3 linked regions of the Arabidopsis thaliana genome follow. The protein of the gene in region 2 interacts with the protein of the main gene of each other region in a biochemical or structural test. Each region holds a gene or a part of one and is shown on either strand. Other genes may lie near its edges.

The links. Proteins that work in one complex are often made in the same cells at the same time.
Region 1: the proteins of WNK8 (region 2) and EMF1 form a complex in vitro, tested with the Arabidopsis thaliana proteins (one study listed by BioGRID).
Region 3: of the proteins of WNK8 (region 2) and RACK1C_AT, one has a biochemical effect on the other in vitro, tested with the Arabidopsis thaliana proteins (one study listed by BioGRID).

Annotation. Positions count from the first base shown.
Region 1 is NC_003076.8:3,694,025-3,701,805, forward strand, and holds EMF1 (embryonic flower 1 (EMF1)), read left to right. Parts: upstream 1-1,767; 5' UTR 1,768-2,141; exon of another isoform or gene 2,142-2,388; intron 2,389-3,034; 5' UTR 3,035-3,115; coding exon 3,116-3,210; intron 3,211-3,322; coding exon 3,323-3,498; intron 3,499-3,578; coding exon 3,579-3,698; intron 3,699-3,777; coding exon 3,778-3,831; intron 3,832-3,920; coding exon 3,921-5,182; intron 5,183-5,322; coding exon 5,323-6,906; 3' UTR 6,907-6,940; exon of another isoform or gene 6,941-7,175; 3' UTR 7,176-7,525; downstream 7,526-7,781. UniProt on the Arabidopsis thaliana protein: Transcription repressor that regulates phase transition during shoot, flower and seeds development. Controls leaves development, shoot architecture and flowering by delaying both the vegetative to reproductive transition and flower initiation.
Region 2 is NC_003076.8:16,794,417-16,799,776, reverse strand, and holds WNK8 (with no lysine (K) kinase 8), read left to right. Parts: upstream 1-1,770; 5' UTR 1,771-2,214; coding exon 2,215-2,304; intron 2,305-2,669; coding exon 2,670-2,707; intron 2,708-2,791; coding exon 2,792-3,019; intron 3,020-3,119; coding exon 3,120-3,340; intron 3,341-3,415; coding exon 3,416-3,573; intron 3,574-3,648; coding exon 3,649-4,030; intron 4,031-4,117; coding exon 4,118-4,692; 3' UTR 4,693-4,810; downstream 4,811-5,360. Other genes in the region: AT5G42000 (ORMDL family protein), read right to left, coding at 1-64, 146-322; AT5G41980 (nuclease), read right to left, coding at 4,888-5,360. UniProt on the Arabidopsis thaliana protein: Regulates flowering time by modulating the photoperiod pathway. Phosphorylates the vacuolar ATPase subunit C (VATC) and RGS1. Regulates EDM2 that, in turn, modulates development processes.
Region 3 is NC_003074.8:6,210,364-6,214,165, reverse strand, and holds RACK1C_AT (receptor for activated C kinase 1C), read left to right. Parts: upstream 1-1,614; 5' UTR 1,615-1,794; coding exon 1,795-2,673; intron 2,674-2,955; coding exon 2,956-3,057; 3' UTR 3,058-3,288; downstream 3,289-3,802. Other genes in the region: LST8-1 (Transducin/WD40 repeat-like superfamily protein), read left to right, coding at 1-92, 247-316, 491-568, 639-755, 855-937, 1,018-1,097, 1,177-1,236, 1,317-1,423; AT3G18120 (F-box associated ubiquitination effector family protein), read left to right, coding at 3,594-3,802. UniProt on the Arabidopsis thaliana protein: Minor component of the RACK1 regulatory proteins that play a role in multiple signal transduction pathways. Involved in multiple hormone responses and developmental processes.

The DNA.
Region 1 (7,781 bases), about 13 Mb from region 2:
AAAGTTGGGTATTAAATTATGAATATTATCTAGAAATTTTAGAGGGGTGTATATAGTGTGCTATTTTCGTGATAAAAGTAAATAATGCATCCAAAATTCAAAGTGGATCATTAACACGTTTTGGTATATACATCACAATTTGTCAAACCCGTAATTAATTGCGCCAAACAAGAAAAAATGATCTTATGGGGCAAAAGTAAATCACATATATGGCAGTGGGAAGAAAAAAGGAGATTATATTTTTCCCCTAAAATAGACTAAAGTAACAAACCTAAATTTCTCTGGAAAGAATTATATCATAAAACCTCGAAGCCGACAAAAACTAAGAAAAAAAAAAACAATTTACCGAAGAAAGAATATTATTAAAAAATACAGGAACAAGGAGAGAGAAATGTGTTATAAAGGATAAAGCCCACTAAAGGTCATTCACTTATCTAACTGTATACTATTATTTTCTTCGAGGCAATATATAAAATTTACTTGATCTAGTAATTTATTTTCACTAAGGTTTAGTATTCTTATACATTTGTATAATAGTTAACACAACTTAACGATACTTACTTCTAATATGTATCAACACGTACGTACAGAGCCACGTAAAGAAAAAAAACACACACACAATCGCTGTCGAACAGTTAAATCCCGAATCTAGATTTGTATTAGTTATCTAATCGTATTATTGTTAATTCCGAAAGTAGAGTCAACATCCAATTAATTGCTTTATCAAATATCGAATATGCAAAAGGTCTAAAGAAAAACAAAGTTTTTTTTTGTTGTTAAACTTTGCTTACATCATAGGTATCCCATTAGGTTGGTGTACCATGTGATGATTCTACCACCGAAAAAACAGAAGCCAATATTAAAAAATACATCTATATAGTACATGTACAATAACAATAATTAAGGATTATTGTATTATATTTTAAGAAAAAAACTAAATAGGGTTATGTGAACCAGACTTTTTTTAACACTTTTACTGTGGTAAACTTTGGAAAGGGAAAAAAGAGTGTTAGGGTTAATATATGTATATATAATTCATTTATTGGGGAAATGGGCTCATCTAGGGTAACATCACCTACCCATACAATTTTATCATGCTTTTAGGGCTTTTATTTATCTCACTGGTCCCTCAATTCCTCCACTCTCTCTTCCCTTCGCGTGAACAACACGCTCCAATGTCTCCCCTTCGTATGTGCCGACGCTCCTTACCTCTCCGCGCCACGGACGAAACGTGCCCACACGCGAAAAGTAAACGCCGTGACATCCACGCGCCTAGGGTTTTCTTTTCATCAGGACACAAGTGAAAAATGGGTTGTGATAAGAACCGCACATTGCGGCCACGTGGTTAATTCTCATTGGTTTCTTGTGCCCCATCCTATCACACACAAAAACGTCTAATACGATTTAAATAAAAATCGGGTTCTTTCCTAATATAAAGAAAAACACTGAGATCTTTTACTTAATCTTGTTGTTTAATTTCTGGATACTGTTCCCCTAAGCCAGCTATTTTCTACTAATGCTCAGATTTCTTTCTTAACTAAACATATGCATAAAATTTTCTCCTTTTATTCACTTTTGACAGATACAGAGATACAAAGAACAGATACAGAGATGTACAAATACAGATACGTGTACACAATAGAAGTAAAAAGATACGTAACTTTGTTTCGTGTAATTGGAAATAGGCAGACCAGATGGTGACATGGCATTGTCATGTTCCATAGATGAGTTGTTCTTTTTTTAATATAAAATTATTACAATAAATTAATAAAAAGATTATTTTATTGAAATTAAAACCCTTATATCGACGCAAAGCCAAACAAAAAAAAAACCCTCATTTCAAGGATAAGAGAGCTCCACTTTCTCTCTCCTCTCCTTTCTCCAACAGTCTCTCTCTACAAGCCATAGGAAAAAAAAAAAAGTCCCCCTTTCTCTCTCCCTCCCCTTTCGTCTTAGGGTTTCTCGAAAATTCGCAGTCAAATTCTACTCATCTCCCGACGAATCCATCCTTCAAGCTCATCTAATCTTCTTCTCCGTAGCTTTCTCAATCTACCGATATAGTTTTTATCCCTTGCCGCTTAAGATCGAGCTCGAATCTCGCAACCCCTTTTAATCCCTAATTTCTGGTCGGATTAACCCAGGTGCGTTGTTTCCGACATGAATCTCAGATGTGTTTCGATTTAAGGTTTGAGCTAAGGTTTGATCTTGTTGGGTTGAGATTTGGTCTGACTTGTAGCTGACTTCGTGTCTTTTAAGCTTCACTGTTCATTTATACGTCTATCTTCCTCGGAAACTCTTGATGTTCTTACTTTTTTTTTTTTTTTTTTTTTTTGGGGTTTCGTCTTCACGGACTATTCACGTGCGGATAGATCTGACCCGTATTAATTGGTGGGTCTTGGTTAATCTTTGTTAATCACATACGGTTAATTTAAGTGGTTTATTATCTTTTAATTTTGTTCTAATTTTGATTTTAAACCCTAAATTACGCTGATTAATAATTTGACCTTTCTTGGGTTTTGTAATTCCGAAATTATATTGAATCTGGTCCGATCTTCTTTTTTCTTTTGCTGGTCATGTAGATAAGGTTACAGCTTTGGGGTTTCTCGTCTGTCTGAAAAACCCTAATTTTAGGTCGTCTAAGTTTAGGTTTACTTACATGTTAATTGTTAAATGTATAAAATTCACTTGCACGATTAATTTTTTGTTATATTAGCGTAATTGAATTGAGATGCTAGTATAGAATTTCATTCTTGATTTTATGTAGACCTTAGGGTTTAATTTTTTTTTATTTGCCGTGTAATTGTGAAGTTTGATGTTGGTTATGAATGTTATTTTATGTGGGATATTCATGTGAAATGCTTTAACACTATGTTATAGATTAGTTATATTTATTGCTTGAATAAATTTAGAGTTATATTTGGTGTCGTATATATGGAAAGTTAAGATTTATGTCTTGATATACAACAATAATGTGATCATTAAGCACAATTATACGATGTGTTATATAACTTGTTTTGATGTGTTGCTTTTGTAGCTCTAGTTGCGGAGAGAGTATAATGGTGTATGAAAGTTAATCATCACTGAGGCATAGTATCTATCTCCTTCAAGCAAATCAATGGGATCTTCCATCAAGATCAACTCAATATCCATAGATCTCGCAGGTGCTGCCAACGAGATTGATATGGTGAAATGTGATCATTTTTCCATGCGGTGAGTATAGTTTGTTGACCTTATATCATCAACCTCTCTTGCTAGAGTATGTTTATATAGTAGCAAGCTACAAGATGAAATGACATGAATAACCAGTTTTTCTTCTCTGCAGTGGATTCGTAGCTGAAACTCGTGAGAGAGACCTTAGAAAATGTTGGCCGTTTTCAGAAGAGAGTGTTAGTTTAGTAGACCAACAAAGCTATACTCTTCCTACTTTATCTGTTCCAAAGTTTAGATGGTGGCATTGTATGAGCTGCATCAAAGATATAGATGCTCATGGGCCAAAAGGTATATCACATTTCCAATATTGTTTTTTATGTGTCTAAAGACGTGTCTACTTGAACTTATGCATTTTGAGTTGCTTGCAGATTGTGGACTGCATTCAAACTCAAAAGCTATTGGAAACTCTTCTGTTATCGAAAGTAAAAGCAAGTTCAATTCGCTAACTATCATTGATCACGAGAAAGAAAAGAAAACTGATATTGCAGGTATGCATCTGCTGAGTCTTGGTTCAGTTTCATAATCCATAGCAAAATCTTAATCATTTTGTATTATCATGTTTTTCAGATAATGCTATTGAGGAGAAAGTGGGTGTAAACTGTGAGAATGATGATCAGACAGGTAAAGTTTTCTCTGGTCAAGCAAATTATGTTTTCTCTGATGATCTCATGATGCGGAATACTAATTTCTTAAAGCTTCAACAACTGCAGCTACTACGTTTCTCAAGAAAGCACGTGGTCGACCTATGGGTGCTTCTAATGTTAGGAGCAAGAGCAGAAAGCTTGTGAGTCCGGAGCAGGTAGGAAACAACAGATCTAAAGAAAAACTAAACAAACCATCGATGGATATTAGCAGCTGGAAAGAGAAACAAAATGTGGATCAGGCTGTGACAACGTTCGGCTCATCTGAAATTGCTGGTGTGGTTGAGGATACACCACCTAAGGCAACCAAGAATCATAAAGGCATTCGCGGTCTGATGGAATGCGATAACGGGTCATCAGAAAGTATAAATCTTGCTATGAGTGGGTTGCAGCGTAGGAAATCTCGCAAGGTTCGTCTACTCAGTGAGTTGCTTGGTAATACAAAAACCAGTGGTGGTAGTAACATCAGAAAAGAAGAGTCTGCTTTGAAGAAGGAATCAGTTAGAGGTCGAAAAAGAAAGTTGTTACCTGAAAACAATTATGTCAGCCGGATATTGAGTACAATGGGTGCAACCTCTGAAAATGCTTCCAAAAGTTGTGACTCTGATCAAGGTAATAGTGAATCAACTGATAGTGGGTTTGACAGAACTCCATTTAAGGGTAAGCAGAGAAACAGAAGATTTCAGGTTGTTGACGAGTTTGTACCATCACTTCCTTGTGAAACTTCACAAGAAGGTATCAAGGAGCATGATGCAGATCCTAGTAAGAGATCAACTCCTGCGCACTCTTTATTCACTGGAAACGATTCTGTTCCTTGTCCTCCGGGTACTCAGAGAACAGAGAGGAAGCTCAGTTTACCCAAGAAGAAGACAAAGAAGCCTGTAATCGATAATGGGAAGAGCACTGTGATCAGTTTTAGTAACGGCATTGATGGAAGTCAAGTTAACTCGCATACTGGTCCTTCCATGAACACAGTATCCCAAACTCGAGACTTATTGAATGGGAAAAGGGTGGGCGGTTTATTTGACAACCGTTTGGCTTCAGATGGATATTTCAGAAAATATCTCTCTCAGGTTAATGATAAGCCGATAACATCTTTGCATTTGCAAGACAATGATTATGTGAGGTCAAGAGACGCGGAACCAAACTGTCTTCGAGATTTTAGTTCCTCTTCTAAATCCAGCTCAGGTGGATGGTTGAGAACTGGAGTAGATATTGTTGACTTCAGAAACAACAACCACAATACAAACAGATCGTCTTTCTCGAACTTGAAGCTAAGATACCCCCCTTCTTCTACTGAAGTTGCGGATTTATCTCGGGTGCTGCAAAAGGTACAAGCTTTGCATCTATTTTTCTTCAATCGCCATGCTTTCTCATTCTGTTTTCCAACTTGCACCTATTCTTGTATATTCCAAACTGGTGTGCTTCAGTGATTGGATCAGGATGATAACGGGATTGATTTACTTGGCAGGATGCTTCTGGTGCAGATAGAAAGGGGAAGACTGTTATGGTCCAAGAACATCATGGAGCACCAAGAAGCCAAAGTCACGATAGAAAGGAGACTACGACTGAAGAGCAAAACAACGATGATATTCCAATGGAGATAGTGGAGCTCATGGCCAAAAACCAGTACGAGAGGTGTCTTCCCGACAAAGAAGAAGATGTTAGCAACAAACAGCCATCACAAGAAACAGCACACAAATCCAAGAATGCTCTACTGATTGATCTCAATGAAACCTACGATAACGGGATCTCACTTGAGGACAACAACACATCAAGACCACCAAAACCGTGTAGTAGCAACGCAAGGAGGGAAGAACATTTTCCTATGGGAAGACAGCAGAACTCTCATGACTTCTTCCCAATAAGTCAGCCTTATGTGCCTTCTCCGTTTGGGATCTTTCCTCCTACCCAAGAAAACCGAGCCAGCTCCATCCGGTTTTCTGGTCACAACTGTCAGTGGCTTGGGAATTTGCCAACTGTGGGTAATCAGAACCCTTCTCCATCCTCATTTCGGGTATTACGTGCTTGTGATACTTGCCAGAGTGTTCCTAATCAATACAGAGAAGCTTCTCATCCAATTTGGCCATCTTCCATGATACCACCACAGAGTCAATACAAGCCAGTTTCTTTAAATATTAATCAGTCAACAAATCCGGGTACGCTTTCACAGGCATCTAACAATGAAAATACATGGAACCTCAACTTTGTTGCTGCCAACGGGAAGCAAAAATGTGGGCCTAATCCAGAATTTTCATTTGGCTGCAAACATGCTGCTGGGGTTAGTAGTAGTAGTAGTAGGCCAATAGATAACTTTTCTAGTGAGAGCTCTATACCGGCATTGCATCTACTCAGCCTTCTGGATCCTCGCCTGAGGTCAACGACTCCCGCTGACCAACACGGAAACACTAAATTTACTAAAAGACATTTTCCGCCAGCCAACCAGTCCAAAGAGTTTATAGAGCTTCAAACAGGGGACTCTAGTAAGTCAGCCTACTCAACTAAGCAGATACCTTTTGATCTATACAGCAAGAGATTCACACAAGAGCCTTCCCGGAAGAGTTTCCCCATCACTCCACCTATTGGGACGTCTTCACTTTCATTTCAAAATGCTTCATGGAGTCCTCATCATCAAGAGAAGAAAACCAAGAGAAAAGACACCTTTGCTCCTGTTTACAATACTCATGAAAAGCCGGTGTTTGCAAGCAGCAACGACCAAGCGAAGTTCCAGCTGCTGGGAGCATCGAATTCCATGATGCTTCCTTTGAAATTTCACATGACGGATAAAGAAAAGAAACAAAAGAGAAAAGCAGAGAGCTGCAATAACAATGCCTCTGCGGGACCTGTGAAGAACAGTTCTGGACCCATTGTGTGCAGCGTCAATAGAAACCCTGCTGATTTCACCATTCCTGAACCTGGGAATGTTTACATGTTAACGGGTGAACATCTGAAAGTCCGTAAACGCACAACCTTCAAGAAAAAGCCAGCCGTGTGTAAGCAGGACGCAATGAAGCAGACCAAGAAGCCGGTTTGTCCACCTACACAAAATGCCTAAAGATATACAATGTGTGTGGGAGGGATTTGTGCAGGTAAGTTGCTAGGACTATCTGTTTCTAATTCTTTAGTTTTGGGATTTACTTGGTTCGTCTGAAATCAATGACTTAAAGAAATCTGCACCTTACTAAGTGTTTCTTTTTGCATTTACATTAGTTAGAACTGCAAAAGGTTAGGTTTTATGTTAAAGCCTAGGGTTTAGAACAGAGTTTTATCAGTCTCTTCATCAAATCTTTGTCTCCAGCTCTAACAAAACAATTTTCTCTTTAGTTCATTGTGAAACAGATACTGAGGCAGAGGGATTAACAGATGGAGAGGGATACAAAGAGAGGGAGAGAGACAGAGACAGAGAAAGAGAAAGAGAGATCATTCCTATTGAAAACAAGAATAAGTCAGACAGGAAACATTAAAATGCAAATCTTCCTCATGTTCTTGGTCTCTGGTCTTAAAAACATATCTTTGCTTATGGTTTGTTCAAGCATACTTGGGAACCATTCAGCTTGTGTATATATTTAAATGACTGTAGTACCCCTGATAGGCCTTGTTGTTTTTTGTTTGTTTTTTTGGGAAATACTAGATACCTTTCAGCTGGCGTTATATATATATTTAGTCTTTATTTATACTGTTGTGTTTAAATGTCTCTGTCAGGCCAGCCAACTTCTCCAAACCTAAGAGAAACCCTCTTAAGTCTTAACACATTTTTAATCCAAAAAAGACTCTAACTGAAGATTCCGTAAATTAAATCTCTAGTCTGAAGAAAAATCTGCAAAACAACTTTTACATCAATTAAAAAGCTTAGAGTGCTACAGAAACGCTTAAGGTTACTTTTCAACTTCTTAATTTACTTAAGAATACATTGAAATTAAGTTGGGTATG
Region 2 (5,360 bases):
TATAGACTCCTTGATCATCTCCAAATGGTGTTCCCTTCTTCCAATGGAAGGAATGATACGTGACCTAGAAAACAAAAAAACTCAAAAATTCAAATCTAGAAACCAACAATTTCGAAATTGGATCGGAGGAGATCGGGAATAATACGGTGAAATGAGCGAGATGAACAATGGTCCAAGCGATGCCAGGAGAACAATGGAAGACGGAGAGAACGAGGAGCCAAGAGAAGAAGAGGATGAGAATATAAGTAGTCCAAACACCAGGATATGTGAACCACTCTGTGTTCCGATTCACATCCGTCGTCGGAAGTGCTCTTACGTACATCGTCTTTTTCACCGGAGGGATTTGGAAGAAGATCGGAGATGATGATTGATGAATCGTCGTTGAGCAAGTTTTCTTTCTTCTTTGTTTTTTTTTTCTCTGCTGCGTTCTTTGGGCTCTTTCTGGGCTTTTTATTTTCTACAATTTTTTTAAAAAGAAGCATTAAATTAAAATAGGAAGGTGGTTGGGTGGCTCACCGATCTTAGCCTAAAACAATGATTATCAGTAACTCTGTCTCAAGACTCTCAACGCGTCACTCGATAAACCACGACGACTCATATTTTTAATTTATTGGACTTTTCTTGTCAGCTTACATAGAGGCCCATTACAAAACACACCGGTTTTCCGACCCGACCCGTACCTTTTCATCCGATAATTTAATTTACATTTTCAAAATATGTTCTGAAGTTAATTCTTGACCATATTAGTAAGAGTTATTTCATTTTATTTTTGAACAAATTTTAGCTGCCAAATTTCGAAATCCTTTTTTTTTTGCTACCAAATTTTCCATCCAGTGCTTCCGTGAAAAATATTTCGAATAAAATACCATTTTAAAAAACATCTTCGAATAAATATCTAAAATTATCAGTTTTTTGTTCTTCTCATATTTTCAACTTGATGAGGATTAGATTTAGATTCACCTAATGATTACAATAAACACGATTAAGCCTCGTTGGTTTTTTAAGACAAACTTACAATTTTTTTGTTTTTTCTTTTCTTCATCACACACTCTGTCTCACCAACTTATTCAATAAAAGCAATTGGACTTTTAACACAAAATATATTATTCAACGACAAAATGATTTCGTATTAATGCTATACTATCCAAGGTTCATTAAATTTGAACTAGCTATATCTTTTTATTAAACTTATAGAATTTAGATTCCACAATTTCTTGATTTCCATGCACAGAAAAAAAACTTTAAATAGATTACTATTCCCTCTAATTAAAATATAAGATGTTATAAAAGTTTATCTTTTAAATATTAAAAAATATTTTGTTAGTTTCTATGAAAATTAAATGTATTTGATAATTTGTGATCATTTATATTCTGCAGTTTTTTCTTATGATTAGTTAAAATTTTTAATTCTATAAATAATATTTTTTAGAAAGAATGATCTTAATATGTGTGATTGTTTTAAACATTTTATATTTTGAAACAAAGGAAATAACATCGTATTTCTGAGGATTTACATAATGTTTTTTTTTTGGTGCACCTAGCATAATGTTTTATTAGTAGAAATTATTCATAACCTGAAACATGTAATTGCATAAATGGCCTAAAGTCAGCTGAAATAAAATGAAAACAGAGGATACATAATTAGTAGAATAATCTCAAATATAAGAGAAAGTGCGTTAGTTGATAAAGACAGATAATTTGACTTTCCGATTTATTTGGCCGCCAACCTTTTTTTGTTTTGTTCTTCCTAAATTCCCTTTCTCCGAAATTCCTTTCATTGATTTCATCATCATCATCATCCTTCGTTTTTTCTCTATCGATCTAGCAGATTCTTTCGGGGACCAAAATCAAAATCATGGTGGATCATCAATGGAAGGATTTAATCGGATAAAAGAGAAGAGACGGAATCACGACGGGAGAAGAGATCGGGAAATCGGAAAATCGGAGATGATGGGGATTTCTTTCGCCGCCAAACTCCGTTTCCGATCTCGATTTCGAACTTCTTCAATCGATTCTTATTGCTTCGCTCGTGAGGCTTTCTCCGATTGTATCTCCTCCGTCCATTTCTTCTTCTTATAACCTTTTTCTTTGTAATAACCTCCGTCCTCTTCAGCTTTCTTTCTTTTCATCTTCAATCTCACCTTAAATTCTCCACTTTTTTCTTCTTCTCCTTCTGTTCTCGATTGCTTTGTTTGTTGTGTTGTGCATACATATATGGCTTCTGGTTCTGGATTTTTAGGTCAGATATCGTCCATGGAAGAGGCTGATTTTGCCGAGAAAGATCCTTCTGGCCGTTACATCAGGGTACGTCACTGTCTTCGTTGATTCATGTGTGAATTTGCATTCAATCTCGTTTGGTTGAGTGTTTTTTATTGTTGAATTATGAGGAAATTGATCAGAATTTGAGAATTTTGACCTAGTTTAATGAGTTCTCTTTGTAGTTCTACCTAATGAGGGCTGTTACTTTGATCGTATGGTGATGATTATTGGTTTATAGCAATGTGTGTTTTGTTCATTGTTACGTGTTTTCGACTTTTAAGCTATGTACAATTGTACATTTGGAACAATCAAGCTTAAGATCATGTTGTATTGCTGATTTTTTCGAGTTTGTATGGTGGAAAACATATAGTGATTGATCGATTCGTTTTTTTTTTGTTGTTGTTGTTTAGTATGATGATGTTCTGGGGAGAGGAGCTTTCAAGACTGTGTATGTTTTCTACACCCTATTATGCTTTTATGTTTTTAGTTGTAAAGGAAAGTGATTCTGATTTGTTTATTAACTCTTGTATAGATATAAGGCGTTTGACGAAGTAGACGGGATTGAAGTTGCTTGGAACCTAGTTAGCATTGAAGATGTAATGCAGATGCCTGGTCAACTTGAAAGGCTATATTCTGAAGTTCATCTACTAAAGGCTCTAAAACATGAAAACATCATCAAACTCTTTTACTCTTGGGTTGACGAAAAGAACAAGACTATTAACATGATCACTGAGCTTTTCACCTCTGGTAGTCTCAGGGTGTAAGTATCTCCCCCACTTCTCTTTTGTATTGATGATCCTTCATTCTTTTTTTTTTTCCTGTGCATCACATGGGTTGACACCATTTCATTTGATGTGAAGATATCGTAAGAAGCATAGGAAGGTTGATCCCAAGGCCATCAAGAACTGGGCAAGGCAGATTCTCAAAGGCCTGAACTATTTGCATTCTCAGAACCCTCCGGTAATTCACCGGGATCTGAAGTGTGACAATATATTTGTCAATGGAAATACTGGAGAGGTCAAAATCGGAGATCTCGGGCTCGCAACTGTACTGCAGCAGCCCACTGCTCGAAGTGTGATAGGTAATACACCATAAACCATTTTCCTTCCTAGACCCTGAAAACTTTACTGTAACTGAAAACTTTGAGCGTAATCAGGTACTCCTGAATTCATGGCACCTGAACTGTATGAAGAGGAATACAATGAGCTTGTGGACATCTATTCTTTTGGCATGTGTATGTTGGAGATGGTAACCTGTGAATATCCATACAACGAGTGCAGAAACCAGGCTCAAATTTATAAAAAGGTCACCTCGGTAAGTCTTTCACAATCTTTACTTTCATCAATTATCTATGCAATGGGGCTCCCGTTTGAAACTTTGCATTTGCAGAACATAAAGCCTCAGTCTCTTGGCAAAGTTGACGATCCTCAAGTTAGGCAATTTATAGAGAAATGTCTTCTTCCTGCCTCTTCCAGACCAACTGCCCTCGAGCTCTCGAAGGACCCATTCCTTGCAAGGGATGGAGGCAAGGACTCTGCTCTGCTTGCTTCATCAAGCACATCATCTAAATATGTGAGACCACCACAGCTTGAACATCTTCCCATGGATGTGGATCATAACGAGAATAAAAGTGTTTCAAGCAACGAAGACTACCCATGGTCCCAAACCATTGAACTTCAGAGGATTGCAGAGAATAAAGAGTTCAGGTTGAGAGGTGAGAGGAGCGATGATGTCACAGCGTCTATGGTTCTCCGTATTGCTGACCCGTCTGGTTCGTCTTATAAAATTAAATCTTCTATCCAATTCATTCCTCTCACAGTTTTCATTTACTGAAAATCAATTCAATGCCCTAATACAGGTAAATGTAGAATCGTACACTTTGCATTCTATCTGGAGTCAGACACAGCAACAGCAATCGCTGAGGAAATGGTTGAGGAACTGCATTTAACTAGCCAAGAGGTCGTTGTGATAGCTGATATGATCGATGACTTCATAATGCAACTTCTCTCTGACCGGACCTCGTCGCATCATAACCAAAACTCTCCACGTCTAACCCATGAGGATCATGAAGCAGCAAATCAGCAAACTGTGAACTCGAAAGATGAAGAAGCTGCAGGACAATCAATGAAGTCAGACATATCAGCAGACTATTACTTTCCCTACTCAGCAAACGACGGAAATGCTGCCATGGAAGCTGGTCGAGATGCAGAGTCGATGAGCTCGTATCTGGATTCTTGCTCAATGATGTCAACCATTTACAATCTTTCCATTTCAGACAATGATTACCCAGAAGATCTCAAGACAGAACTAAACCTGATCGAGTCACAGTTTAACCAGTCCTTCCAAGATCTGCTGAAACTGAAAGAGGATGCAATAGAGAACGCTAAGCGAAAATGGATTACGAAAAAGCAAAAAGCAGTTAACATCTCTTGATTCAAAAGCTCTGTTTTTGATATTTTACTCTTCTTTTGGTCTTCAACTTTGCTGAGATCGGTGTGTTATACATTTGGTGTTTTGGATATATATATTTGATTTGATTTGATACAACAAACATAAATAGTGGTATTTGACTTATATCATTTCTAACAGACTAAACACACGAAACCTGTTAAAAAAAAACTAAAAAGTTTAGAAGGTTGACATATTTTGGACATAATGGTTCCAAAGCTCAGATGCAATCTCATCTCTTAACCTTAAACTATCTTCAACTTCTTCTGGTCTAAACCCATGTTCCTGCCCCACTATCTCTACTTGTTCCTCTTCTAAAGCCACTTCTCTATCTTCTCCTGCTTCCGCCAGAGTCTCTTCTTCAAACATCCTAAACACTAAATCATCTGGTTTCTCCAAGCGGACATAGTTGTGCAATGCACAAGCCGCAATCACCAGTTTCACTTGCGTTTGTAGAGGATACGGAGGAGCTGATAGTAGAATCGGAAACCGTTCTTTCAAAGCCCCAAAAGTCCGGTGGATAGCTCGATGCAACAACTTGTGTCGCTCATTGAACATTTCCTTTGCTTCTTCTCTTGAATTGGTTGAAACACCGTGATACGGCGCGATAAAGCCAGGAAGATTCGGATACTTATTGTCAACAATGTAGTATT
Region 3 (3,802 bases), on a different chromosome or scaffold from region 2:
ACCAACAATGTTATGGCAGTAGGATTTCAATGTGATGCAAAATGGATGTATTCAGGATCAGAAGATGGCACAGTTAAGATCTGGGACTTAAGGTATATCATGTCATCTTCATCTTTAGCTAAAAGTTTATAGATTTATTCAAGTGTGGATTCTGGGAAAGGATAAGGAGATATTGAATATAAAGTTACGAAAAATACTAAGAACGTTCTAAATTGTATTCTTGTTGACTCGTAAACCAAAATGCAGGGCTCCGGGTTGCCAAAAGGAGTATGAAAGTGTTGCAGCGGTTAATACAGTTGTTTTACACCCAAATCAGGTACATGAAGTCATCTGTTATTGTTGTGCTGTGGGAATCAGCTTCGTTTTATGTTTAAGAGAGTTGTTGTATTGCTACTGTTGAAACTGCTGTGATTTTGGTAGTTGTCTCAGCTGTTATTATGAACTATTTCCTTAGTCTTTATTATGAACTTTGTTTTTTTTTTTTGTACAGACTGAATTGATATCTGGAGACCAAAATGGAAATATACGTGTATGGGATCTCAGAGCAAATTCGTGTAGCTGTGAACTGGTAATTGCCTTTGACACGTCTTCATTTCATTTCTGAAAATCCGTAGATAATCACTTGAGGTTAACTATAGGTACCAGAAGTTGATACAGCTGTACGGTCTTTAACTGTTATGTGGGATGGGACAATGGTAGTCGCTGCTAACAACCGTGGAACATGTTATGTATGGCGCTTGTTGCGTGGAAAACAGGTAGTGTTCCTGATATGCAAACCTTTCTTTTGTTTAACCATGTTGTAGTCGCATTACTCTAATTGTCCATGCCATTTAAAAATTCAAAATCTTTTACAGACAATGACAGAGTTTGAGCCCCTTCATAAGCTGCAAGCTCATAATGGCCACATCCTTAAATGTCTCCTCTCTCCTGCAAACAAGTAACATGTTTCTTATACTTTCTCTTTTAACCGTTTTCTTCATCCTCTCCTTTTCGAAGCTCTTACATATTTGTTAGCAGATATCTAGCGACTGCATCATCTGATAAAACTGTCAAAATATGGAACGTCGATGGTTTTAAACTAGAGAAAGTTTTAACAGGTATGTTCTCCATGTTACTGTCAACAGCATTCATTCTCCATTATCGTCTCTTACACTATCATCAAATCTTATATAACAGGACATCAAAGATGGGTTTGGGACTGCGTCTTCTCAGTGGATGGAGAATTTCTTGTAACAGGTACTAATCTCTGTCTTAACTTAAACCACTGAAAAACATATCAGAACAATCTTTAAACGGGTTTCTATGATGTTGTACAGCATCATCGGACATGACGGCTAGATTGTGGTCGATGCCAGCAGGCAAAGAAGTGAAAGTGTACCAAGGTCATCACAAAGCCACTGTGTGCTGTGCACTTCACGATTAAAACCTTAATAAGAATCAAAGCTAAATTATGAACAAACTACGATTGTGTTATTTGTGTTTTAGTAAACTCTTGTACATTTCAATCGAATTCGTTCAAATTGCTCTTATGTTCCCTCTCTGATCAAACATTTCTCAACTATATCACAACAAAAATGCTCCAACAAAATTTATTTCAGAAGAGGCCCATTTATACCTGACTCGGAAACTCCGGCCCAAATGAGCCAGTCTCCTCGCAGAAACCACACTAAACCCTAATTTGATTCATTTTTAGACCTAGAGTATAAATACCAAACATTTCAATCGACCTCGTAATCTCTCGCTCTGTTACGCCATTTTCGTGAGTAAGAAGAAGAAACCCGAAAACCTCAAACCATGGCCGAGGGACTCGTATTGAAGGGCATTATGCGCGCCCACACCGACATTGTCACGGCCATCGCTACGCCGATCGACAATTCCGACATCATCGTCACAGCGTCGCGTGACAAATCCATCATCCTCTGGAAACTCACAAAGGACGATAAGTCTTACGGTGTTGCTCAGCGTAGGCTCACAGGTCACTCTCACTTCGTGGAAGATGTTGTTCTCTCATCGGACGGTCAGTTTGCACTCTCCGGAAGCTGGGACGGTGAGCTCCGTCTCTGGGATCTTGCCACGGGAGAAACAACTCGTCGATTCGTTGGTCATACGAAAGATGTGCTCTCTGTTGCATTCTCTACTGATAACCGGCAGATCGTGTCTGCTTCTCGTGATCGTACGATTAAGCTTTGGAACACACTTGGTGAGTGTAAGTATACCATCTCTGAAGGTGATGGTCACAAGGAATGGGTTAGTTGTGTTAGGTTTAGTCCTAATACTCTTGTACCAACTATTGTATCTGCTTCTTGGGATAAAACTGTGAAAGTTTGGAATCTCCAGAACTGTAAGCTGAGGAACTCTCTTGTTGGTCACTCTGGTTACCTCAACACTGTTGCTGTCTCGCCTGATGGTTCGCTATGCGCCAGTGGTGGGAAAGATGGTGTTATCTTGTTGTGGGATTTGGCTGAAGGAAAGAAGCTTTACTCGCTTGAGGCGGGTTCGATTATTCACTCGCTTTGCTTCAGTCCTAACAGATACTGGTTGTGTGCTGCTACTGAGAATAGCATTAGGATTTGGGATCTTGAGAGCAAGTCTGTTGTTGAGGACTTGAAGGTTGATCTCAAGTCTGAGGCAGAGAAGAATGAAGGTGGTGTTGGAACTGGTAACCAGAAGAAGGTACGTCATTATCTTATGATTTCACTATAGTAATTGGTTCTCTATTGATAGGTTAGTGAATGCACCAAAAGTAGTGATGAAATTATCTTTGGTTATGACAAAAAAAAAGTGAAATTTTGGTTAGAAATTGCATGTAGGAAATCTTTTCCCTTACCCATTAGCTTTGAAACTAGGAATTTTATTCTTTAAATGTTGCTCTGCTCCAAAGGTTTTGACTTTGATGTTAACATATAGGAAGAGATTGATAATGGTATCTAATGGGAATGTGTAATGAAAATGCAGGTTATCTACTGCACAAGCTTGAACTGGAGTGCAGATGGAAGCACATTGTTCAGTGGTTACACTGATGGAGTTGTCAGGGTCTGGGGTATTGGTCGTTACTAGAGACACAACAAGATGAAGAAGAAGTCACGAAATCTCCGGAAAAAAGTTTAGCTGCTTTTAATTTTTCCAGACTGCGTCAGTATTGTATTAGTCTCTCGCAAACCTCTATTTTGGCAATTTTTGTTTAATTTCCAGAAGAGAAAAAAACAATCCATTGATTATCATATCACTATATATCAAAAGGTCACGATTTTGATTACACTTACCTTCGTGATCTTCCGATTGGTCTTATTGAGGTTCAATCTTCACAATTCATCCCTATAATATATCACTCTTATCTCTTTCACCGGCCACATTACAAGCCTATTAGATTTCTAAAGCCCATGATTGGCCCAATTCAGTTAGGGTGGGTTTCTTTGTCTTCAAATTTGTAACCACCGGAAGCAGAGGAGAGTATCTTCTGAAGCATTAACCTAACTTATTTATGATCCTTGAGATGATGATGGCCAATCTTCCAAGGGATTTAGTGAACCTTGTTACGGATACGTACAGTATGAACTCTACTACCTCAAGTCCTCAACTCCTCTAAACCACGGATGAATATTACTATCCCTAACATTAACTCTGCGAACTGGGAGATACAGTTTTCTGCACGTGGCGTGTCTCTCAAGGGAAATACTCAACAAAAGCATCTCCCTGAGTTCTTACTCTGTTATGATTTTACAAGAGAGATATTTGGACCCCCTCTAAGTCTACCGTTTCACTCTTTTAATGAAGATACTGTGACTCTATCTAGTGTTAGAGA